Caenorhabditis elegans: one gene and its partners. The protein of the gene in region 1 interacts with the protein of each later gene in a pairwise test. Each region holds a gene or a part of one and is shown in the gene's direction. Other genes may lie near its edges.

Region 1 (5,217 bases):
TATAGTTAACTTCAGTACAAAAATCGTATTTTAAAGTGTAGCTTTATGCTCAAAATATATTAAAGGTGGAGTGTCGCCAGTGTGGAATGTTCGGAATCACTCCTATTTGAAGCAAAGCATGGCAAAAAATTTTAGAATTCTTTTTTATTTACAGTCGATTATAATTGCGGAAGTAGCCCGAAAAAAAAACAAAATTTCCTACGTTTTTGGGTTTAATAATATTTAGTTAATTGTGTTTAAAAATTTCAATGTTGTGTAGTTTAACATTTCCTCACTCAACAGTGTTCAATATTTAAAAAAAATTTTGCAAGGAAAATTGGAAATATGCCAAAACTTCATCTGAAACAAAAGTTAAATGTTTAGTTTCTCTGTAAAAACGTAAAAATGACAAATATTGAAATAGTGAATTGAGACTTGAGAAGACTTTTAGATTTCAAAAAGATTTCAAGACTATTACACAAAAAAAAATCAGACAGAAACAAAAAACAAAAAAAAATTATTAAAAGATTGACACTGACATGTTTAAAAAGTCACAAAACATTTTCGAGTACGTAGTTACTCGAAAAAGAAAACTAAGATCTATATGACGTCATTTTGATCTGACACAGGTGACACATCTCATCCATCCCGTAGCTCTTCTCCCACAGAAACATTTTGTGGTGTGAAGTTACTAGATGCACACTTTACTACTTGAATGGAGGAGGTTAAATGATGAAAGAACAGAAGGATGCTCATTATGATTGTGATGTTTCAAATATTATAATTATTGTTTCACTTTTGCAAGTTCTATAAATTGATTGAAAAATTGACAAAACTCTGGATTCAGAAATTGCATTTTTCAAAATGTGTAAAATTTCAAAAATCGTGTTATAAATTTTAAAAAAGTCCAATGTTTCTGATAAAAAAATGTTTTAATTAGATGAAACACTGAAATTGTTCAGTTTTTGTCAGTGAACAAGAGAAATCACAGAAAAATTGTTCCGAAAGGGACTACTTTACTCCCTATTTGTCTTGAAATCTCTCAAAAATCAGTATCTTAGAAATTATAGTTAACCCACAAAAATACACTTTAAACCGTTCAAAATCTATTCATTATTTTTTCAAATAAGTTCAATATGTTATAGAACATCTTTGATATGAAGCATATAACAAACGTCATCATAAAACATCATATCACGTTCATAAAATCCTTTTCTTTGAGGAATTGTCTTGTTACAGATTGCACAACGGAAACAATCAATATGAAAGAGACGATTAAATGCAACAAGTCCTCGTTCAATTACTGGCAATGAGCATCCTGTAAAATTTGTTTTTTAAGTAATCGTAAGGGGCTCTAATCTTTCCTATATGTAGCTGAGTAATCAAAGTTCGTATAACCCGTGCAAAACCGAATTCACAAGCCATATCATTCAATTTTTAATTTCTACTAATCAGTACTTCGAAGAACTAAAAATACCTGTGCAAGATGGATGATTTGTTTGAATATGACATGCATAACATGATGGTTTCATTGGATCAATTGATGAACGGAAATAACGATTGTCCGAGATTTGAAGCTAAAATTGGATATTTTGAAATTTTGGAAGTGCTTTTTTCCGAACGCTTCCAAAACTAACTTTACAAAAAATGCATTGAATATGATCCCGATGCCACATTCGATTCAGAAAGAAGACAACTTTGTTCTAAAAATTACTTTTTTAAAGGAAATACACCAATTGTGGATTTACCTTTTCGACATCCTCCTCGGCGATTTTGGCTTTACATCCTGCACAATTGATAAACTCAATAGTCATTTTTCTAGTTTATTTGGAAATAAATTATTTTTTATTAAAATTGTATTCTTCGCCTCCGAATTTGTATTTAGTAAGCGGTTGCCACGTAACTGGTATTAAAATTTATTGGTTTTTAATTGAAAACTTCCAAACAAGATACAAAAGTTTATGCATCTCTGCATGGTAATCTCCAAAATACATAAAATATCACAGATTCCTTATTTCTAGGGCAAAATAAGCCATTATACTGAAGCCAAATAATACTGTCCGCCTTTCATGCCTTTCCCTCCCGAGACTCCATCTTTTTTTCCAATCAGATCCAATTTTCGGTGAACAAACAATAATTTGACATGCCTCTGTTGATTAACCGTGTTTTGTGAGCAATTCATTGGCTTTTCGTCGCACAAAAACAATGGGCATTAGGAGCATTTTTTGGAAAGTTGTATCTGGAAGAGGTGAGCACAGTTTGTCCCATTTTTTTTCTAATTTTAGCTGATTAAAAATAAAACCTCCAAAAATGAATTTCAGTGCCCGATAATGGTGGATGGGTTGACAGTATGCAAGTGGATCATTTTGATCCTTATACTCCAGGACAACTAACAAAAAACTTCACAGCAACTGTATAGTTTTCAGTTTTTCCAAATTACCCCAATTTCTAACCTCTCACTTTTAAGGTTGCTGACGAAATTAGTGTAACCCGTGGCACTACAGTTAAAGCAATTTATCGAGATGATCAATGGATTTATGTTGAGGTATCTGATGGAAGAAAAGGATTTGTTCCACAGACATATTGTAAATTGCTTTTGAATTCAAAACACGGTGAAAAGGTGAGCGTTTTAGATGTTCTAGAAAAGTTATTTTTAGTGCAAATCTTAAAGAATGCAACAACACGTGTAATTGTGGCATTTAATGATATTCATTTAAAACTACTGTATCCGGTCTCGACACGACCGAAATATGCGCAAAAGAATGTGCGCCTTGCGAATTACTGTAACCACACTCCTAATTATTTCCAATATTTCATAGATATTTCATAGTTTTGTCATTGAAAAATCGAAGAAAAGTGGTGAAAATCATTGTCACCTTTAGTGAGAACAACTTAGAAGCCACGTGATGTCAGAGAGTCCCATTTCGGTTTGATCTCCAAGAATTTCGGGAATGGAACCGTTGAGAAATCAAATCAAATACTTTTCAGAAAAAGGTGATCGGATCCAGCGCGACACTTGATCGCCGTTGGGAAAAATCAAATTTGCAGAGATTTATCGACAGTCTTCCTGTTCAAAAAGAAGAAGGAGAGGTTTTTAAAATGGTTTGTTTTGAATAAAGCTATTGAATATTCTTTTGATACTATCTGCAGGATGAGATATGCGAAGTTCAAATACTACAGTCATTTGATGGATCAGCTCCAGATGATATATCTGTGAAAGATGGAGAATCTGTCACAGTTTTGAATATATCAGATCCTGAGTGGACCTATATTCGAAATTCGGACAATCAATCTGGTTTTGTACCTTCTTCCCATGTTAAGATTCCACATGAAATATTGCAACAAGCTAGCCGTGTCATTAAAGAAAAATGGTATCGTAAGTTCGCAGTTTTCTGAAACGCTTAAAGGTGTACGGACTTATTCAGATGGGTCATGGGTGTTATTCTGTTTTTTTTTTCAGAATTAAAAGACTCAGAAGACGCGAAAATTTGTTATTTTTGCGCCAAAAATACAGTACCCGGTCTCGACACGATAACAATTTTGTTAAGTGTGAAAACGTGTGCGCCTTTAAAGACTACTGTAATGTAAATACAACTTTTCGTGCTCATAGTTTTTCTCACGATTAGTAAAATAAAATATATGTGTTTTGTGGTTTTTTAAAATAAATAAATACATTTTTTAACGGAGAATTATGAAAAATCTATGCAAATTCCTCAACAACGAAAGTTTGAAGCTACAGTACCCTTTAAAGGCGCACATCCGTTTACATTTGATAAAAAATATTGTCGTGTCGAGATTGAGTACCATATTTTTGGCGCAAAAATTGCAAAGTTTCGCGTATGGGTAATAAAAAATCAAAAGAATCGACTTTAAAATTGTTCACGAAATTCCCGAAAAAAGCAAAAGGGCCGTTGCAAGATAAAAAACTACTGCCATAAATGTTTTTCTCGTGCTTGCGTTTCAAAAGATTGCGAAATAAACTGATTATATTTTGGCTTGGCAAATTTATTTAATTTTTAGGGAAAATGAAAATCTTCTCGTAGTCGAACCTTTTTCTGGAAGATCACCTCTTGATCTAACAGTCCGACCAGGTGAATGGATAAAATGCACTGGAAGACCAGTAGATGATTGGTTGTGGGCCGTCCGAATCGCTGACGAGAAGCAGGGATTTATCCCGAATAAAGTTGTAATTTTGGCGACAGATCTTTGATGTTTGATTTATCGTTTGAATTTGTTTCATACCCGACCCATTAATAAAAATATTTTAAAAAAAGGTGAATTGGAAATGATAATAAATTTAGTGACTGAAGTGGGTAGTAAGAAATACAATCAAGAAACGAATAAATTATTGAAAATAAATAGGATTTAAGGTATTCGTGGGAATCATGAGAGGATAAAAACAGAAGGAGCACACATAACTGGTTATCAGAAAATACATTAAAAGAAAAAGAGATTCTTGTTTTCTGGATTGAACGGGGAGGCGAGATAGGGTAGGATAATTATGATAAAGTTATAAAAATTGCATAAAATTTTAACAAGAGATCCACTGATTTCATTGAGTTGGTCGGTCCATTACAAGACTACACGTACTCTTCAACAATTCATCGCGAAGTTTCCACAAAGCTTTTGTAACATCCTCTTCGCGAGCTACAGGTCGTCCGTTTTCAATTCTCTGAAATTATGAAATATATTTTACAAGAAGAAATAGTCGAACTAACCCTTATCCAATGAGATGGAGCGCGGGCATTTCCAGCTGGTTGGGTATTCCTGGCAGTTGCTCCTAGAGTTCGTTCCCATCGGCTTACCGACTTCTGTCGATTCTGGGCAAGTGATTCGATATACCTGTAAATGAAAAATCAATACTTGAAAAACAATTAAATTTCAAAAAACTCACTTGAGATATGCTTCCGAATGTAGAACTCTTCTCGAATGAATTTGATTCGGTGGTGCAACAAATGCAGGTACAACTGCTCGAACTACAGTTCGTCCAACATCTGTAACCACGATAGGTTGCATTTGTGGTTGTTGCTGTTGTGGAGGTGGACCAGGTTGTTGATGTTGTTGTTGAATCATTTGTTGAGGTGGTGCCTGATGATATTGTTGAGATGAAGAAGATCCTTGTTGGAACATTCCGTTTTGTGGTGGTCCCATTTGCATCTGTGGATGAGGTTGGCCACCTTGCTGAAAAAATTACATTTATTAAAAATGTTTTCATTGCGTTACAAACCTGATAATGCT
Region 2 (5,626 bases), on another chromosome or scaffold:
TGTTCAGTTTTGTGTGGTCACAATGTATTACAATATCACAATGATCACTTCCATAAAGCCCTGCTGAAGCCCAGGGCACAAAATTTAGAAGGGTCAGGTCGCAATCTAGCCATTTGTCATCATGGCTACGCGCACACTCACACTGTGTCTCTTTGTGTCTCGGCGGTGTGCATGTGCCTTTAAATACCCCCTTTTGAATCATTCACGCGTTCTTTGGTTCTTTGGTTCTCAAGAAGAGCGGAGAGCAATCGCGTAATTTGTGCAGCCTTTTTGATAAGACTTCTTCATGAGTTACTAGATTTAAAACTCGAATTTTTACTATTTTCTTAATAAAAAACTCCGAATTTCCCCCATTCTCACCCATTTCTCTAGTCGGACACAAAATTTTGTGGTCTCCCGTGCTCTATAGTTTTTGGTCATTGGTCACATCGTATGTTTCGAAATCATCGCCGCTGTTTTTGTTTTGAAAATTGATTTTCAACGAATTCTCTTTGGTTCTCCCAGCATAGAAAACGGTCATTTTTCTTTTTTTTTAATTGCCGAAGAAAAAAATATAATGGAATCAGTGGAGGCGCAGACTGTTAGAAAGCATTTGCACTGTTTATTGAACGGTTTGGCGCCCGTTACTCAGTGGAAGTGAGTGGTATCAAAAAATGCGTTCGGTTGCATTTATAGTTTTATGAGATGAATATTTTGTAATTTAACAATTTTGTGATAAATTTACTTTTCGACGAGGTATAGAGGTTTTAGCACAAGCTGAATCCCGCAGCCTTTTAAAATCAAATTCTCATAACGTATTTTTACTTTTAACTCCTTTTAACTCCTTCGAAGTAAAAGTTATTCAACAGTTGTTAACTTGAGCATGTAGTGTTTTTTTAAGGCGGCTATAACTCAGCGGAGGTTAATGCTATGAAAAAGATGAAAATTACAAAAATGTTCAGTTTTATGTGGTAAATAATCTTTTAATGAACAATTTTGCGACAAATCAACTATTCGACAAGATACGGAGGGTGCTAGCTTCAGCCATTGGCACCCTACTTCTCACCACTAAACCTTTATGCTCCTGTAACTCAGCGGAGGGTAGTTTTATGAAAAAGTTCACAATTACAAAAATGTTCAGTTTTATGTGGTAAATAATTTGTTAGTTAACAATTTTAGGATAAATTTATTCTCCGAGGAGATACAAGGGCAGAAATTTCAGTAGCTCTCTTCATCGGCTCCCTTGCCGCTTCACCACCAAACTTTAGGCGCCTGTAACTAAACGGAGGTTACTGTTATGAAAAAGTTGCAAATTACAAAAATGTACAGTTTTATGTGATAAATAAATTGCTAGTTTAACAGTTTTTTGATAAATCCACTTTCCAACAAATTACAACGATTTCTAGTCTTCGACACTACTGCTCACCCTTCACCACTGAACCTCCAGGCGTCTGTAACTCCGCGGAGGTGAACTCCATTAAAAAGTTGCCAACTACGAAAATACGCAACTTTTAAAGTTCTATATTTTATTAGTTGGCATATTTTTGATAACTCCTCTACTCGTAGAGATATCACAGCTTAAACTTATACTCCTTATACTCCAGCCGATCAAAACACCATTTTTTCCAAAAAATTCCATCATGGCGTCAAGTATCATTTCAACACCATTTATTTACTTTGTGTCAATTCTCAATTCTCAACTTTCAATTTCTCCTCAAAAATCAAACATTGCGAGCACATCTGAGCACGAGGGGAACAAACCACCACCTCCCACACAATTTCTATTGTTGTAGCCTACCGGAACGGTGGGCGGCGCCCAGACGTTCGGAAGGCGGAGCCCCGTTTATTTATAAATCGGGAAAAATTTTTGAAATTTTGAAATTTTGGAAATTTGAAAATAATGGTGCCATTTGTGTTGATTTTTTGGCGAATTCTCGAATGACTTTTCGTGTGTGATGAGGCGGCTGAAAAAAAAACTAACTGATAAGCTTTTCTATCATATTTTAACCTTTTCTCTCTCTCTTTTTTGATTCCATTAAATATCCATTTCCAATTTCTAATAATTTATAATTCCAGCCGTCCATCATGGCCGCTTTGGCAATTTCTCACTGCGTGAGCCACGTGGCGCGCCCAGTTTCTCCGGTAACACAAGGAAAACCGAGCGGAAGCAGACAGCAGCCGGTGAGCCAAATTTCGATTTTAAGCCTTGTTTTGGAGCAAATTTTTAGGCGATCCGGTTTGCGTTGATCCTTCGAAAGAGCACACGATGGCAATGGGAGAAGGAGCAGACGGGCTTGAGCGATGCTGATCTGAAAAAGTGAGTTTTACAACCAAAGCTGCTCGTCGATGCATCACGTTTTGCATCTCCACTTTGAAAGCTCATATCTTTGTTCATTTTTAAGATACTATAGGCACATAGCTAAAAATAATTTTATTAGTTGACAGTTTTCTTTTAAAACCAAATACAACGAGATAAAAACTGTGGAAGCTGGTTCTAGTCATTGCACCATGTCTCACGCCATTTCTAAAGCTTGTAACTTTGTTCATCTTTTAGATACTAAAAAATTGAAACTGCAATAATGTATGTCCATGTCTTCCTCCACATTCAGAGTCCATATCTTTGTTCATTTTATAGGTAGTAAAAAGTAAAAAATTTTTAACTACAAAACTGTAGAAAATCAAATATTTAAATATTTTGTCAGAAAGCAACTTTTCGATAAACCCAAAGCCAAATGAGATATAAGCTATCAAAGCTGGTTCCGGTCGATGCACCATGTCTCAAGCCACTTCTAAAGCTTGTAGCTTTGTTCATCTTTTAGGTACTCAAACAATTGTTATTACAAAATAGTAGAAAAACATATATTTCATATTTCGCCTGTGAGCAACTTTTTGATAACGCTAAAACAGACAGAGATATGAGCTACCAAAGAAGATAATTTTCGGTCGATGCACCATGTCTTAAAGTTCATATTCAATAGGTTGTTTCCTGAATTTAATTTTAATAACATTAACACTATATAAAATATGTATAAGGTGTCCGGTCGATGCACCATGTTTTGCTTCACCTATATCCTATCATACAGAAATTTGGAAAATTATATTTAGGCTAAAAACCGAAACTGTGTATTTTTCCCATGGTGTCTGCAATTGACAAAAGTCTACTGACCTCATTTGAATGTAAAAATGTCTATCAGGCTATATTCCCAGCTACTAAATCTTTTCAGGCACCTCTCCTCAAAAGGCACCAAGGTTCAAGAGCTCCTCGAAAACGAGAAGAAACAAGTAAACGCAGTGCAGGAAATTGTCTCCGAACTTGGCAAAGCAGGCATCTCCACAAAAGTTGTGACTCGCGAGCAGCTAGCCCAGTACCTGCCTGAAGCTGATCTGGTGATCTCTGCCGGTGGTGATGGAACCTTCTTGGCTGCAGCTTCCGTGGTCAACGACAACACCCCAATCATCGGTATCAACACTGACCCGATCGGAAGTGAAGGACACCTGTGTGTCGGTGGCAAGAATCCACCTCGCGATTTGATCGAGCGTCTGGTCTCTGGAAACTTGAAGTGGGTGCAGAGGACGAGGATACGGGTAACAGTAAAGGAATCCCGGAACTCGATTTTCTCATTGAAGAGGTCTGAAAAATCAACAAACCTCGCCCTGAACGAGGTGTTCATCGGAGAGGATGAAGCCGCCAAAGTCTCAACCTACAATATTTCCATCGACGATTCGCAGACAGTCAAGCAAAAGTCCTCCGGGTTGATTGTGTCGACTGGGACCGGATCGACGAGTTGGTACCTCGGAATGAACAGGATCGATGAGAATGCGACGACGTCAGTGTTGGAGGCACTGCAATCACTTGGCGTGGATGTGCCGATCACAAGGAATTTGGTGGAGAAGGTGGTGAATTCGGTGAATGAGAAGATCCCGTTCGAGCCAGATCATCCTAGTGAGTTTTTTGAAAGTTGATTGGAATTTGGGTTTGTTGAGTTGGAAACAAAATGTCAGGGGTATTTTTGATTACACAATTCCAAATATAAGACCCTGCACAGACATGGAAAAGGACTGAGAAAAGGACCCCATGGCTGGCCTCATCGTCAGGCTTCAGAAAACTCAAATTTGAGAATTTCTCATTATCTCACTTTCACTTTTAACTTTCCAGGTTTCGCCTTCTCAATCCGTGAGCCGATCTTCAACGCCACCTACAAACGCACGGCGACCCGCGGATTCGCCAGAAAGATCAAACTCGAATCCCGATGCACCAACGGATACCTGGTCCTTGACGGATCCACAAAGATCCCGTTCCCACGTGGCGCCGTCGCCACGATCGAGGTCAATCCGAATGATGCTTTGAAAACTGTGATTGTGTAACAATGATTTTGTGTGTATTGTTTTTATTGTACGGGTTTTCGGGTTGTCGTTTTTTTTGTGAATTATGAATTCGTAATTGTACATAGATTTTATACGATTTTATGTGATACATCAATTTGAAATTTGAAATTAAAAAAAAATAAATTCATTACTTTTTCATAACTGTATAAAATGGTCTCAAAAATGTGCTTCAAATGCACATTTTCTCAAAATTTCAGAGATCCATCGTTGCGAGATCCTTTGTCGTGGTGAGACCCCCCGTGGTGAGATCCCCGCAGTGCGATCTATCGTGGCGAGACCTATCGTAGCGGGACCCATCGAGGCCAGACCCTCCGTGGTGAGACCCATTGCAGTGAGACCCTTCGTGGTAAGACCCATTGTGGCGAGACTCCCTGTGCTGAGACCTCGTTCAGTGCTGATAATCTGATATGAAAAATCTGAAACCATACAAGCTGAAGTCATTTCGCAACCCCAGAAACTAAAAAAACCACAAAAACCATTTGAAATGCGACATTCTTTATTAAAAAGCTCTCTAATGAGTCTTGTAGATCTGCTCTGCCTGCGATGGCGCTGCCTCGACAGCCACCGATCTCGTTGGGCATGGACAGTAGGCAGCGTCTCCACCTGGCGCGGCATCCTCTCCCGGTGCTCCATCGGATCCATCGACTCCAGGAACTCCGTGTTGTCCTGGTGCTCCTCCGGCGCCTGGAATTCCATCGGCTCCCTGCTTTCCGTTCTTTCCATTGGCTCCCGGTGGTCCAGGTGGTCCACGACGTCCACTGTTTCCTGGATGTCCTGCTGATCCTGGAAGGTAGGTTTGTCCCTTGGCTCCCGGTGGTCCTCGTGGTCCGGCTCTTCCAGGCTTTCCTTGATGTCCTTGTGGTCCGGTCTCTCCTGGTCCTCCTGGGGATCCTGGTGCTCCATTCTGTCCGTCTTCTCCTGGGGCGCCATCGGTTCCCGGCTCTCCTGCACAACCATCTGGCCCTGGTGGTCCAGCTGGTCCTGCTGGGCAAGAGATGCAAGCTCCTCCAAAATTCTCCTTGATTGCCGCAGCATATCCAGGATGTCCATCAGGTCCATCAAGCCCATCTGGTCCGTCAAGTCCTGGAGCACCATTTGGTCCACGTGGTCCAGGTGGTCCTGCTGGGCATCCCTTGCTCTTGGCTCCACAGTTACACTGAGCGTTTCTCTTATTTCTTCCGAATAGCATGGCGGTCACAGCGGCACGGGAAGCTTCAGGGGCTCCGTTCTTGCGGAGCAGCTCCTCCCAGGCGTCATCAGC
Region 3 (8,860 bases), on another chromosome or scaffold:
ATCTCCCACTGTGCGTTCCTCTCCTTTCCCCCTCATTTACTTAATGAACTGTTCTCTTTCTCTTTCATTTCCGTTCGTGTTTTTTTGTGTCTACGCCTTTTCATTAGAACTTTTTTAAATTCAGTTTTTTTCAGCCGCAGATACTACAAAAATGGCGGCGATCATACGAACACTATTCAAGAGCAAAAAATCGAAAAAGGGAGATGAGGAGAATAACGAGGATTTGGTTAGTTTTTCTAAACTTATTTTTTGGTTTATATTGGTGATTGATAATTAATATCTCAAAACTAGAAAGTGCATTGAAAATAGACTGTCCTTTTACGGATTGACCTACAACAAACGCGGAAATTTTCCTCCAATCAGTTGAGAAGTCGCGTCTAAATTTCCGTGATTCTTGTAGATCAAGCCAACATGGTGCACTCTGACATCACGTGAAATTTGAAATTTTCAAATTCAAATTGTTAATTTCCAGGCTCGCGAAGTCTCCAATCGCCGTTCATTCCGTGCACCGAGCACCTCATCCTCCAAATCACAAAGACGAGCTGTTGCTCGCTTCGCCGACGATGGAGCTCTTCCCGCCACTGCCGCCTATCACACAACATCAGCACCAAAACTTCGTAAAGGTCCTCAAAGCTGTCCGGGAGGTTATCGTGACGAGTCAGATGTGTCGTACGAGTCTGACAAGTATTCACAGAAGAGCAATTCACATCGGAGGCGTGACGTGCTTCATCAGTCGATGCGACAAAACTACACGATAGACGAAGGACGGAAACCGAGTAGCAGACGTCATCATAGCAGCAAAAGTGATTTCCGTCGACGTGGTGAATCTTCAGAATACGGAAGTGGTGATCCATCACCGGTTGGACAATACAGCAGTCGTCATTCACATTACGAGGACAGAATTGAAGAATCAGAAAATGATGATTTCAGTGAAAAGGCTCAGTTTGCAGTCATCGAGCGTGCTCAACAACATTACATGCAAAAGTACAAAGAGTCTGAACAAAAGCGACGGGAAGAAAAGAGAAAGTTGAAGGATATGGAGAAAGAGTGCAATGATGCCAAAAACGCCATGTTCCACTATATGAATCAGTTGGATAAAGTGAAGAAGGAGCGGGATTGCTATAGAAAAGAGCTCAGTCGGTGCAAGAAGCAGCTCGAGGCTTTCCAGAATTCCGGATATGATGTAAGTTCATATTATTATTTCAGAGAACCCTCAAATAAATATAATTTTTCAGGCATTCCACCATCTCCGTCAACCACAAATATCAAATCCTCAGCAATATCCACCTCCATTGAGCATGGGCTCCTACCCTTATATGAGCCAATCCATGAATGCTTCTCACCACATGTCATCTAACTTCATGAATAGTGCTCCACCATCAAGCAACACACCGATGACAATGACAAGTGGAGCCGGAGAGTCATTGATAAATCCGTCTGATGTCAGCTTCCTTCAAAATTCATTCCTTCAACCAACTTCTCAAGGTCTTACGGGAATGACTCCACCACCTGGAGGATTCAAGGGTGCGTCCGAAACTTTTTATTCAAACGATACTTCTTCTTCTAACATTAATTTCAATCAATAATCTAATATCTAATCATGTTCATTGCCATATAAATTCGCTTTAAATTTTCAATTATATTTGTTGCTTCACGGTGTGTGGCAAATTTTGAAATTTTGCCGAACTCGGCAAATTTGGCAATTTTGCCATGCTCGTCATACTCGGTAAATCGCAATATTTTTTGAAGCTCAAAAACTGGTTTCGCTCAATTTTTGCCCAATGCGCGTGTGGATTTCTTGAATAAAAAAAAATGAAAGAAACACAATGTTATTTTTTTTCATTAAGTTTCTGATCGAAACCATTAGTTTTCAGCAAACGGCAAATTCGGCAAATTTGCCGCACCTCTGGTGTCCCATTTCCGTATGATCTACAGTAAATACAGAACTTTTTGCCCAGAAAAAATTGGTCTCAGTACGATTTGAACAATTCAAAATCTGTTGAGAAGTCTGCGTATAAATTCTCGCAGTTCTTGTAGATAAAACCAACATGAAGCTTTAAAAGACTATATCATGATTTCAAATAATTTCAGTGCCCACAAACTACGGAGATGATGATCGAGATGAAGTGAAAGACTATCGTTCCGAACTTTTAATCGAAACTTCAAGAAGTACTAAAGAAGTCGACAGCATTTCTCCGTCAAGCTCTGCTGACAGCCAAGTGACTCTACTTGATCATTCCACAATAGATAAGGAGAATCGGAAGCCACCGTCTCGTCCATTCTCTATGATGTCGATTTAATTGCTTTATTTTCCATTTTCCAGATTGTCAGCTATTTTTTCTACTTTCTCTTTTTGTATTCAATTTTCTCAAGAGTTATGTCGGTTTTTTTTCATTTCTACCTTATAACCATCTCTTCTTTAATAAACCCGAAACAGGATCTTGTCTTTCCGCACAAATCCAAATATTATCAGTTGTGTTTGTATGTGTGTGCGGCTCTCATCACCACCACCGGTCGAAACATTTGGAGATGCTCTGGCTCCGCGCGTTCCACTCTCTGCGGCTCTTGATTCGTCTGATCTATTGCGTCGGCGCCATCAGCACTTCACGCATCTTCACCTCTCGTATTGGGAAAGAGTCCGAGAGCCATTCTCTATCCCTTCCTCTACTACTCGATTTTTCCTATTCCTGCATCACTTTATGGCACATCGATCGGCACCGTTTATCAGTAACAGTTAATTTTAATATTTTTTTGGTTCCGATTTGATAAAACTAATATTTATAATTAATAATAACATATTTTCAAAAAAAAAAAGTAGGAACGTCCATTTTCCGGGGTATTGCAAAAAATGATGCTGTAGTTTTCAAGTTTTAGCAACCGATGGGAAAAGTACTTTTCTGCTAGGAACTGTAAAATAAAGTGAAATGTTTTTTTTTAATTTGAGAAGATTTTCATCGATGTTTCACAATTTGTCACCCGATTCTTCAAAAAATTTTGTCGAAAAAAAATTTGAACATATTTATATGTATTTTTTTTAATACATAAAATTTTGAAGAAACAGGAGAAAAATCTTTGAAAATTTTGCAAAAGCGAGGAGTTGATTACTACAGTACTCTTTAAAGGCGCACGCTGTTTTTTTTTAAAGAAAAATTTTAAGAAAATATGTCGCTTCGAGTCCTGTACAGACCGTAATTTTGGAGCAATAATTGCAAAATTTGTAATCTGATTAATAGGATAGGCTCCAAATGACATGCCAATTTTATTTTAAATTCGACGGTTTTATTTCTTTCAAAAATTGATTCCGCGGCTACTGGGGAAAAATAACAGTATTTTCGTAATTCGGAAAATGTGGAGAAGCTAATTCGAAACCTAAAAATGAGAATTGAAACTTTATTTTCCGATAAACGCTTTATTCAAACAATTTTCCAATGGACATTAGATGTAAAAATCATGGTAATATCTTCCCAATTAATATTTCAGAATTTCCCCCAGCTCAATCATCTGCTCCAAATCCTTCTCGAATGTTCTGCGTCTCGTACGCCTCAACTCAACAGTCGGCAAATACACCGACGATCCATGAACAACAGGTTGAGATATACATTCCTCCATCTCTTTTCATTTTCAATTCATTTTGTTCAGGAGGAAATCTACTCTTCTCTGAAAAAAGTGCGAACTACTGATGATCTAACTTCAAGTCAATTGTCTATTGATAAACATGTCACTATGATTCCGTTGGGGTAGGTTCAAGATTATTATAAATTGTGGTATTTTTTATTAAAAAGTAATGTAGTAGCATCGGTTGAAATCTGAAAGTATTAACATTGAAAATCGACAGAAAAATATTTTATAGTATTCACGATTAGCTTGAAATTGAAAAAATTATTGAAATTTTTTCAAAACCATACCTAATAGGCACGATAGTAGGCATTTTTGAGCCTACCTGTATTCTTACAAACTAATAGAATTGCTGATTATCTAAAATAGCATTAAAAATGTATTAAATTTAAATTTTCAGAAGCCCACACGAACTTCACCGAGAAATAACTGCAAGCGGGACATTGATCAGAGTTTCCTCGGGGTTACCACAGAAAATGGATATGGGTGCCAATGAAAAAATGAAGGAGTTAGTGCCAAAGGTTGGTGAAATTTCAGTTCTCGATTTTGCAAAAAAAAAAATTTAGAAAATGTTAAGTCTGTGAAGCTGAAGCTTTGAAGATGTTATTTTCGTAAAAATTAATTTTGATTTCAATTTCAGATGCGACCAGAAGCTACTCTCCAATCCTTCCAACCTGTACGCCAAGAAGCACCGCAGAAAAAAGTTGAAATTCAAGAACCAAAGAAAGGTAATAACTTAGAATATTGATTTTTCTCCTTCCCAATATGCTCCACACTTGAACAATTTAGTATGTACAAGTACATAAAACGCAATAAAAAACCAAGAAAAGGGAGAAGCTTGTTTGGGAGGGCTCCGCCATTATATTGGCTATTATACGCGATCACACCCTATTTTTCTTGTATTTTTTTGGAAATTTCCAGATTTTCAAATTCTCAGTTCCAAACTTTTTACTTCTGTTTCAAATCATTTTTGCTTTTAGGCATTGTTCTCCAATTTTCAATAAAACTACCATATTTCCTCTAATAATATTGCTGTCATCTTTGACAGCTTTTATTTTAATTAAGTTTGAATTTAAATATAAGTTTTGAATTATAAAACTATAGAAGATAAATAAAGAAGAAATAAATAAAAAAAAGAAATACTTTTCCAGTTGGTAAGTTTTTGATAAAATAAATGGGAACTGAGATATGTGCTATCAAAGATTTGAGCAGTATTTTTCAAAAACCCCAAATTTTGGTTTACAAAAGGAAAAATAAAGTAAACTCAACCCCTTGTTTTATTAGAGATTAAAAGTTGAAAGTTTAACAAACAGAGCATTTTTTCTATCTCCATCTATTCAATACTCCCACTGTTTTATTCTTTTCCTGCCTCCTCCTCCACCTACCGACCGGTAATCAGGTTCGCGCGACCAACAGAAAAAAGAAGAAGCATCATGTTGACTCAATGAGCAGAAAATACAAACACGCACTAAGAAACTTGCTCTATCGCTGCCGTCCTTTTCCCCCTATTTTTCCCGGTTTTGCCGGATTTTTTTTTAATGTTCTGTCTGAATAAATGAAGTTGGAACTTCACACATTTAGTCATTTGGATGAGATTTGAGCAGACGAGAGAGGGAAGAACCTAATAAGAGCAAACAGAGATTTTGACATATTTGGATTTCTGTGAAAATATGATAGGAAGCTACGATTTCGTATCATTTCAATCCTTGAGATGTTACAAAAATTAGAACTTCTATGATCGGCAGAAAGCCTAAAAAGCTTTGGTTTTTTATTTTTATTTTTTATTCCAAAAAATTAAATTGATCTTAAGTACTTCAAACATCTTTTGTATTTTGCAAAATTCTCAAGTTCGGTCTCTTTACGGTTTTTGAAAAATTCCGAAACCTGATTTTTTTGGTTTTCTACTAGTCTTCGAATACTAGATTTTCAAATGCTTTCAAATTTACATTAAATCATAAATCATATCCTTTGAAATTTATTCGTGCCTACCTGAAGCCTGCCTTTCATCTGAAACTAATTTTTTTCAGAATTCGAGAGTTGGTCGGGTCGAGCGATGGAGGGACGAGTATCTGGTGGTCAAGTTCGTGGCACAAACAACATGCGTGGGTACTGGGAACGAAACATTCAAATTGAGCAACGACAAAGAGCAGAAGATGAGAGACGCCAGAGACCGAAGAGTTATGGTTTTCCGAAATGGAGATCTACAGATGCGTTGTCTGCGTCATTGGTTGCTTCGAATAGCATTCAGGTAAGGGGTTTTGGTGAGATGGTTAATAAAAGGGAAATATCTCTTGTGGAATAAGTGCCAGAATGTTTTCAAAATGTGATAGAAAGTTGCCAAACTTTGAGAGAACATTTTCAAAAGTTGGCAGAAAGTCACCAAAGTTTGACAGACGTGGAGTTTATTAGAACAGATACATTTTTTAGTTTTTGAAACTTGCCCGCTAGCAACTTCCCAATTTTTTTGAAAAAAAAATCTATGAACATATTTCCAGATTCCGGTAGACAGTCGAATCCCTGTAGAACGTTTGCGCAAAATGGAGGAAACCGAGCGAGAAGCCATCGAAGTGAAGAAAGAGATTCACGAAGAAGCTGAAATGACAGCGGGAGTTAGTAATACAAGAAAACTATCCAAAGGAAAAAGCCTAGACTCTCTAAGTATGCAAGTTGATTATCAACCATGGTATGACACGGAAAAGATCAAGTCGGCAGTATCTCGAGAATCCATTGCCAATATCGCAACGTCACGTGAATTCTTCGAAACAGCTTCTACGAGAGATTGGAGATCAGGTGCGAATAGTCGCCGAGATTCGATGTGCTCTCTGAGCATTGCTCCACCACTCCCACCAAAATCTGATGCGATGCAATTGAGACAGGCTACGGTGAATCATGCATCAAGGCCACCTACCAACTATCATCAAAACGGTGGATACGGTCAGCAGTACGAACCGAATTTGTCATCAGTTCCGATTTCAAGTGGTGCACAGAATATTAATATGCTCACTATTTCCAGTGGATATGATGATGGAAGACAAATGGTTCAGAAGCAGCAACAACCACAGACATCAATTAATAGGCTTGTTCAGCAAGGTGAGCGGTTTTTTGAAATTAAAGGGAACATTTTCTGATTGTTAGAAATCACATGTTTCTCCAAAAAAAAGTGAAATTTTTATTCCTCCAAAAAATATCCGAAATAAATAATTAAGTATATATGACTTTAAAAATTGCACATTGAAAGAATCAAGATGTGAATTCGCGGTTACGGTAGTTGAAAAGTTGAATTTGTGTCAGGGGTGGGCGGCAAACGATTTCTTCCGGCAATTCGGCAAATTACCGAAATCGCAAATTTCCGGAAAATTGTGGTTTTGCACCTTTTTTCTGAAAATTTTAGAATTTCAATATCAATCGGCAAAATTGTACGCATCCTATGAATGTTCCTACATTTATTTCGAAAAGTAAGCAAATTCTATGAAAATATCTAGAGAAAACGGGAAAAAATTTCAAAAAGGCACAGTTTTAAAAGTTTTTCCGTCTTATAAAAAATCCCTCTTAAAATTTCCGGCAAATCAGCAAACCGGCAATTTTCCGAATTGCCGAATTTATCGACAAAAATTTGCCGACCACCACTGATTCGTGTTAAGACCTAATTTGTTCCGAAAAATTCATACTTGAGTTGCAGGTGTTTCTGCAATTTTTTTTGCTGCAAGTTTCCATTCCAATTTTTATAAATAAACTCCGCCCATATCTTGGCTTCTTACAATCTTTACAAGAAAATCCTGGAAAAGCTCAAGCTAGCTTTTAAGTTCATTTTCATAAAGTTTCATATCAAATCAAATCTAATAAATTTCAATTTTCTAGAATTTTAACTCAATATTTATTATTCGGTAATTGGCTGAGTATCAACTCTATGCACTCCTCTGTGATACGGAGTGTTACAAATTGAACAAGATATCACGTTTTCTTTCAAAAAACTTTTATTTTCAGACTCTCCTCAAACGGCTGACCCAATTGAGCAACAAGAGGTTCTCCTAATGCTTTATCTGAAACAGAATTTGGATATTGTTCGAGGTCTCGGAATCCACATCCCACATGATCTTCTCGCAGAAATGGACGATCTTCAGATATTGCCAGTCGAGTTGAGAATTTGTGATGAGGAACCACAAAGAGTAAGATTTTTGAAAACTACTTTCCTTAGTTTTCTGTTTTCCAGGGTCAAATGTTTAGCCCAGTCAACAAAAATGGAAGATATCAGCGAAAACCTCAACCGAATATGGCTCCAAATCGGCAGGTGATGGGACAAATGATGGGACAGAAGTATGGAAGTCGAAAGGATATTCCAATTTCAACACGAAGCCGCCAGAATAGTGAAATGAGTAATTCAAATGTGGATCTATCCTATCATCATCATCAGCCACATTCACATATGACTACAAATTCCTCCTACGGATATCATTAATTCAACTTCAACTTTCTACATATTTATAGAAATTTTTAATATTTTTGGGAATAAAATAAAACTTTTTTGCGTTGAAGCAATAGACTATGACAAGACTAGACAATAAGTGAAAATTAAAAAGGAAGAAATTAGCAGAATCCGTTGAGTCCCGTGATGGCTCTTCCAAGGATCAGAGCATGTACATCGTGTGTTCCTTCATAAGTGTTAACTGTCTCCAAATTCACCATATGTCTCATAATATGGTACTCATCCACAATTCCATTTCCACCTAGCATATCTCTCGCCTTTCGTGACACCTCGAGAGCTTCTCCACACGAGTTTCTTTTGATAATCGAGATCTGCTCTGATTGAACTTTTCCCTCATCTTTCAGGCGGGACACACGAAGGCATCCTTGAAGACCCAAAGAGATTTCAGTTAACATTACTTTAGTTAACATTAGTTAGATTTGGAAATTTTCATATGCTGAAATGGAAATGCAAAATCGTTGATACAAACAAACTCACTATCAAGATTGTCGTGCACATTATTGGGAGGATCTATTTCATCTGCATACAGTCTCTTCAAAGGTTCCAAGTTTTTAAGCACGAGTTTTTTGACAGTTTGATTAGAAAATAATTTAAAATCATCCTTTTCCACGAATTCCATATCAATTATTATCGCTGATATGTTCAAAATATTTGTAACTTTTTTATATAAATCTGGATTCATCTTGTATATATTGTCAAGTACATACGATGATACTGAGTTACTCAATGATTTGTCGAATTCAAAGCACACATTATTTAGTT
Region 4 (4,625 bases), on another chromosome or scaffold:
TGGACTAGTTGAGCAGTAGAGCACGATTGATAGCATGATTGGGTGCATGCTGGAGCACATTGCTGCATTGGTTGTTGTTGTTGAATGCATTGTTGTTGGCATGATTGTTGGCATTGTGGAACACATTGAGCAGATTGAGACACTGAAGGTTCTAGGATGACAGTCACAATTTGTGGAGCAACAACTGGAGATTGGCATGCTGATTGGCATTGCTGACATTGTGGAGCAGCTGGTTGCTGACATTGTGGAATACATTGTTGTTGGCACTGTTGAGTCTGTTGGCACGAAGTTTGACATTGTTGGCAAGCTGGTGCAGATGGAAGTGTGCATTGTGGAGCACACTGTTGCTGGCAAACTGGAGCATACTGCTGGCAAGTATTCTGGCACTGCTGGCACTGTGGAGCTGATGGCTGTTGGCATTGAGGAGCACACTGTTGTACGCATTGTGGAGCTGCTTGCTGACAGGTTGTCTGGCATGGTTGAGTACATTCCTGATAGCACTGTTGAACTGGAACTTGTTGTAGAAGACATTGTTGTTGACACTGTTGTTGGCATTGTGGAGCACATTGAGCAGAGATTCCCAAGTTGACATTGATGACTTGTGGAGCAACAGTTGGAGCACATTGTTGAACACATTGCTGCTGACATTGTGGTTGACATTGTTGAATTGGTTGAGCTTGAACACATTGTTGAGTGCACTTTTGTTGGCATTGTGGAACACACTGGACTGTGACTGGAGCTGGAGCAACACAGGATTGTTCACAGGCTGGCATGCAAGATGGTTGACATTGGACTGGAGCTGGAGCAGCTATTTGAGTATAACAGGAAGACGTCTGACAAGTCTGCTGGCATGAAGATTGACACTCATTCATAGATGGAGCAAATTGACATTGGTTCTGGCAAGACTGCTGACAAGCTGGAGCACATTGAGAAGTTTGCACTTGGTAAGTTACTTGCTGAACTGGTTGGGCACATGAGCAGGATGTCTGGACTGGAGCAGTGTTCTGACACGAACAACTGTACTGTTGTGGTTGAGTTGCTTGTTGGCATGAACAACTTGGTTGAACTTGTGAAGCACAACCACATGATTGACGTTTATCACGAATTGATGTTGCCTGGAAAAAACTTCTGTGAACTTGGAAAACAAGCATTTTGTTGCTAACATCGATTACGTCCAACAAATATTTGTAAGATGTGGGCACTTAGAAAACTAGACCGTATTATCAAGAACATTTTGAAAAAACTGTACATGATGAATTTTTCATCAAGTGATGGAAAATTGTTGTAGTTAATATAATATTTTTAATTATTAATAAACCGAAATACTAACTGAAAAAGTTTAGAAATGTCGTGCCATTCTAAAAGTGAAAGTACAATGAAACTTTATCAAACCTCGATAAGCAGACAGCTGGAAGCAAAGAGAGCTACAAATACGATGAAACGCATGATAATGGTTGAAGAAGCAGGGCTTGATGATTTCCACAGATATCAAGGCTTTATATACCCCCTCAAACACTGCTTGCGTACGATTATAGCAATGTAAAAAAATAGTGCCGGAAAAAATAGTCCAAGAGTTCAAGTCTTGTAATTTCGAATGGCTATTGTGAGAGCAAACAAAAAGGTGTTTCTAATAATGAGTGGCGTCAAAAGGCAATAAACAATTTAAAATCGTTTTGTCGAAATCCGAACTCTAAAGTTCAACAGGTAACCCTTTCATTACTTTTCTGAAAATGTAAACGAAATTTTTTGGTACACATAGTTAAGCGGAAACTCGGCGCAATCCAAAAAAAAAACACTGTATCAGTGCAAACGCGCACCCAACCTCTTTTTGATCTTTGCAACTTGCCGTGCCCTCAAGAAATAGTGTGTGTAAGACTGGGAGGCGACGAGCGTGTTTTTTGGTTCATTTGCCATGTTATCATTGTTATGTTTGCGCTGAGCATGAAGCCGGTTGATGGATGGAGTTTGATAAGTGGGACGGAACTGTTTGATGGCTAATGAAACAGGGTTGTAGGACGTTGGTATAAAAGTCGGAAAAATTAAAACAAGGGCATCAATTGTCTCTTAGCAGCTCTTCAATCATATTGACAATGCGTTTTATTACAATTGCAGCAGTTCTTCTTGTTTCTAGCCTTCTTATTGTTGAGGTACGATTTGTATTACTGTTGCTTCACTTACTTTCTGAATTATCTGTAGAATTAGTTAACAATTTATATGTACACCTTGAAACATTATATTATTTCTAGGCATCTTCAATTCGTGATAAACGTCAATCATGTGGTTGTGCTTCACAAGTTCAACCAAGTTGTTCATGCCAACAAGCAACTCAACCACAACAGTACAGTTGTTCGTGTCAGAACACTGCTCCAGTCCAGACATCCTGCTCATGTGCCCAACCAGTTCAGCAAGTAACTTACCAAGTGCAAACTTCTCAATGTGCTCCAGCTTGTCAGCAGTCTTGCCAGAACCAATGTCAATTTGCTCCATCTATGAATGAGTGTCAATCTTCATGCCAGCAGACTTGTCAGACGTCTTCCTGTTATACTCAAATAGCTGCTCCAGCTCCAGTCCAATGTCAACCATCTTGCATGCCAGCCTGTGAACAATCCTGTGTTGCTCCAGCTCCAGTCACAGTCCAGTGTGTTCCACAATGCCAACAAAAGTGCACTCAACAATGTGTTCAAGCTCAACCAATTCAACAATGTCAACCACAATGTCAGCAGCAATGTGTTCAACAATGTGCTCCAACTGTTGCTCCACAAGTCATCAATGTCAACTTGGGAATCTCTGCTCAATGTGCTCCACAATGCCAACAACAGTGTCAACAACAATGTCTTCTACAACAAGTTCCAGTTCAACAGTGCTATCAGGAATGTACTCAACCATGCCAGACAACCTGTCAGCAAGCAGCTCCACAATGCGTACAACAGTGTGCTCCTCAATGCCAACAGCCATCAGCTCCACAGTGCCAGCAGTGCCAGAATACTTGCCAGCAGTATGCTCCAGTTTGCCAGCAACAGTGTGCTCCACAATGCACACTTCCATCTGCACCAGCTTGCCAACAATGTCAAACTTCGTGCCAACAGACTCAACAGTGCCAACAACAATGTATTCCACAATGTCAGCAACCAGCTGCTCCACAATGTCAGCAATGCCAATCAGCATGCCAATCTCCAGTTGTTGCTCCACAAATTGTGACTGTCATCCTAGAACCTTCAGTTTCTCAATCTGCTCAATGTGTTCCACAATGCCAACAATCATGCCAACAACAATGCATTCAACAACAACAACCAATGCAGCAATGTGCTCCAGCATGCACCCAATCATGCTATCAATCGTGCTCTACTGCTCAACTAGTCCAGATGCCATGCCTCACTCAATCAGTCAACTCCTGCTCTTGCCAGCAAAACTATTCTCCGTGTGGAAATGGACAATGTTGCAAGAGAATGTAGTCATCCAATGTATAATTGTGACACCAGTTATGTGTATATACAAGACAATACTTCTTTATACTTTTTTAATAAATAATATTGATAACTTTAAGTTTTTACTCAAATTTAGAAAAAAAAAAAAAACTTTGACCACTGAGCGGATCGAACGCCCAACCTTTCGATCTGGAGTCGAACGCGCTACCATTGCGCCAAGCAGTCACATTTTCCTTTGTCATCTAGTGCAATGACACGAAAGGGGTAGAGAGAAAGGAGAGAATAAGGAGGGGACATATGGCGGTAGAAAAACCGGTGACGGACTACTCTCTTCATCGTTTATCACATATTCTGAGTGTTTGTTTTTTCAAATTTAATGGAGGAAATAGATAGAATAGTGAGGAAATGAGAATGTTATTGATTTTCATGGCGGCATTGGTGTGAAACTTGTTGCTCCTACTGACGCGATTGTGCCAACTCTTGACTGTTTAATCTCTTTGAAACTTCTGAACAGAATCATTCGAATTCCTGGAAGTTTGTGAGGTTTTTCTTGCACGGGTTGTTGCAAGCACCCGACATCTACCGGGTTCTCGATGTGAACATATGCTGAATCCGCTAGAAGTCAAGCGCTACGGAACACTATGGAAAAATGAAGACCGCCAGATGTCGGCTGCAACTGAAAGTTTTGGGAATTTGCTTACTTTTTGCAGTCATTCGATACTCCGAAACGACATACATCACAATAAGTGAATCCGTGGCTGGATACAAAGTAAAGCTGCACAGCATTACTCCAGACGGCAAGCTCACATCTAAGTTGAATAAAGGAAGGAAAATTATGACAGTTATTGGAATGAATAATATGATCGTCGGCATTGTGATCTACATTGTAACAATTTTAGTAATCGGACTTAAGCGGCCGACACCTTGCGGGTTTTCTGTGGAAACCCATGAGGTGTCGGGCGCAAAGCAAAATTTATATACCTGAAGGATCAATGTCTTGAAAAACTGTTTATTTTGTATCTGAGACCTGGTCTCTCGCCAAAAAGAAATAGGTTCCCAGTGCATACTGGAAGCCGAAAAATGAGCAATAGGCGACCCAGATCAGGGAGTAGAAGCCTTTGAAATAGGCGAGCTTGTTGGTGCTGAAATATAAGAATTTTGTGAAGCGCCAGACATATTCCGGGTTCAGCATTAAAAAAC

What was found.
Region 2: the proteins of C26C6.8 (region 1) and nadk-1 interact in a two-hybrid assay, tested with the Caenorhabditis elegans proteins (one large-scale study listed by BioGRID).
Region 3: the proteins of C26C6.8 (region 1) and F54D5.15 interact in a two-hybrid assay, tested with the Caenorhabditis elegans proteins (one large-scale study listed by BioGRID).
Region 4: the proteins of C26C6.8 (region 1) and pqn-90 interact in a two-hybrid assay, tested with the Caenorhabditis elegans proteins (one large-scale study listed by BioGRID).

The regions. Positions count from the first base shown.
Region 1 is NC_003279.8:7,502,548-7,507,764, reverse strand, and holds C26C6.8 (SH3 domain-containing protein), read left to right. Parts: upstream 1-2,122; 5' UTR 2,123-2,184; coding exon 2,185-2,227; intron 2,228-2,300; coding exon 2,301-2,392; intron 2,393-2,446; coding exon 2,447-2,599; intron 2,600-2,967; coding exon 2,968-3,081; intron 3,082-3,129; coding exon 3,130-3,350; intron 3,351-3,999; coding exon 4,000-4,189; 3' UTR 4,190-4,242; downstream 4,243-5,217. Other genes in the region: C26C6.6 (LIM zinc-binding domain-containing protein), read right to left, coding at 1,119-1,297, 1,457-1,556, 1,617-1,682, 1,728-1,793; pbrm-1 (Bromo domain-containing protein), read right to left, coding at 4,532-4,651, 4,698-4,821, 4,874-5,160, 5,207-5,217.
Region 2 is NC_003282.8:1,455,020-1,460,645, forward strand, and holds nadk-1 (NAD(+) kinase), read left to right. Parts: upstream 1-2,055; 5' UTR 2,056-2,064; coding exon 2,065-2,160; intron 2,161-2,207; coding exon 2,208-2,296; intron 2,297-3,203; coding exon 3,204-3,922; intron 3,923-4,135; coding exon 4,136-4,344; 3' UTR 4,345-4,502; downstream 4,503-5,626. Other genes in the region: col-106 (Nematode cuticle collagen N-terminal domain-containing protein), read right to left, coding at 4,877-5,626.
Region 3 is NC_003280.10:11,557,993-11,566,852, reverse strand, and holds F54D5.15 (ZM domain-containing protein), read left to right. Parts: upstream 1-2,625; 5' UTR 2,626-2,699; coding exon 2,700-2,733; intron 2,734-3,480; coding exon 3,481-3,587; intron 3,588-3,639; coding exon 3,640-3,737; intron 3,738-4,015; coding exon 4,016-4,136; intron 4,137-4,255; coding exon 4,256-4,343; intron 4,344-5,642; coding exon 5,643-5,863; intron 5,864-6,110; coding exon 6,111-6,705; intron 6,706-7,599; coding exon 7,600-7,781; intron 7,782-7,825; coding exon 7,826-8,071; 3' UTR 8,072-8,138; downstream 8,139-8,860. Other genes in the region: F54D5.5 (uncharacterized protein), read left to right, coding at 1-10, 135-226, 473-1,183, 1,236-1,524, 2,092-2,300; F54D5.24 (FTH domain-containing protein), read right to left, coding at 8,508-8,860.
Region 4 is NC_003282.8:15,288,728-15,293,352, reverse strand, and holds pqn-90 (Prion-like-(Q/N-rich)-domain-bearing protein), read left to right. Parts: upstream 1-2,090; coding exon 2,091-2,147; intron 2,148-2,164; exon of another isoform or gene 2,165-2,186; intron 2,187-2,216; exon of another isoform or gene 2,217-2,246; coding exon 2,247-3,452; downstream 3,453-4,625. Other genes in the region: pqn-91 (Prion-like-(Q/N-rich)-domain-bearing protein), read right to left, coding at 1-1,115, 1,393-1,446.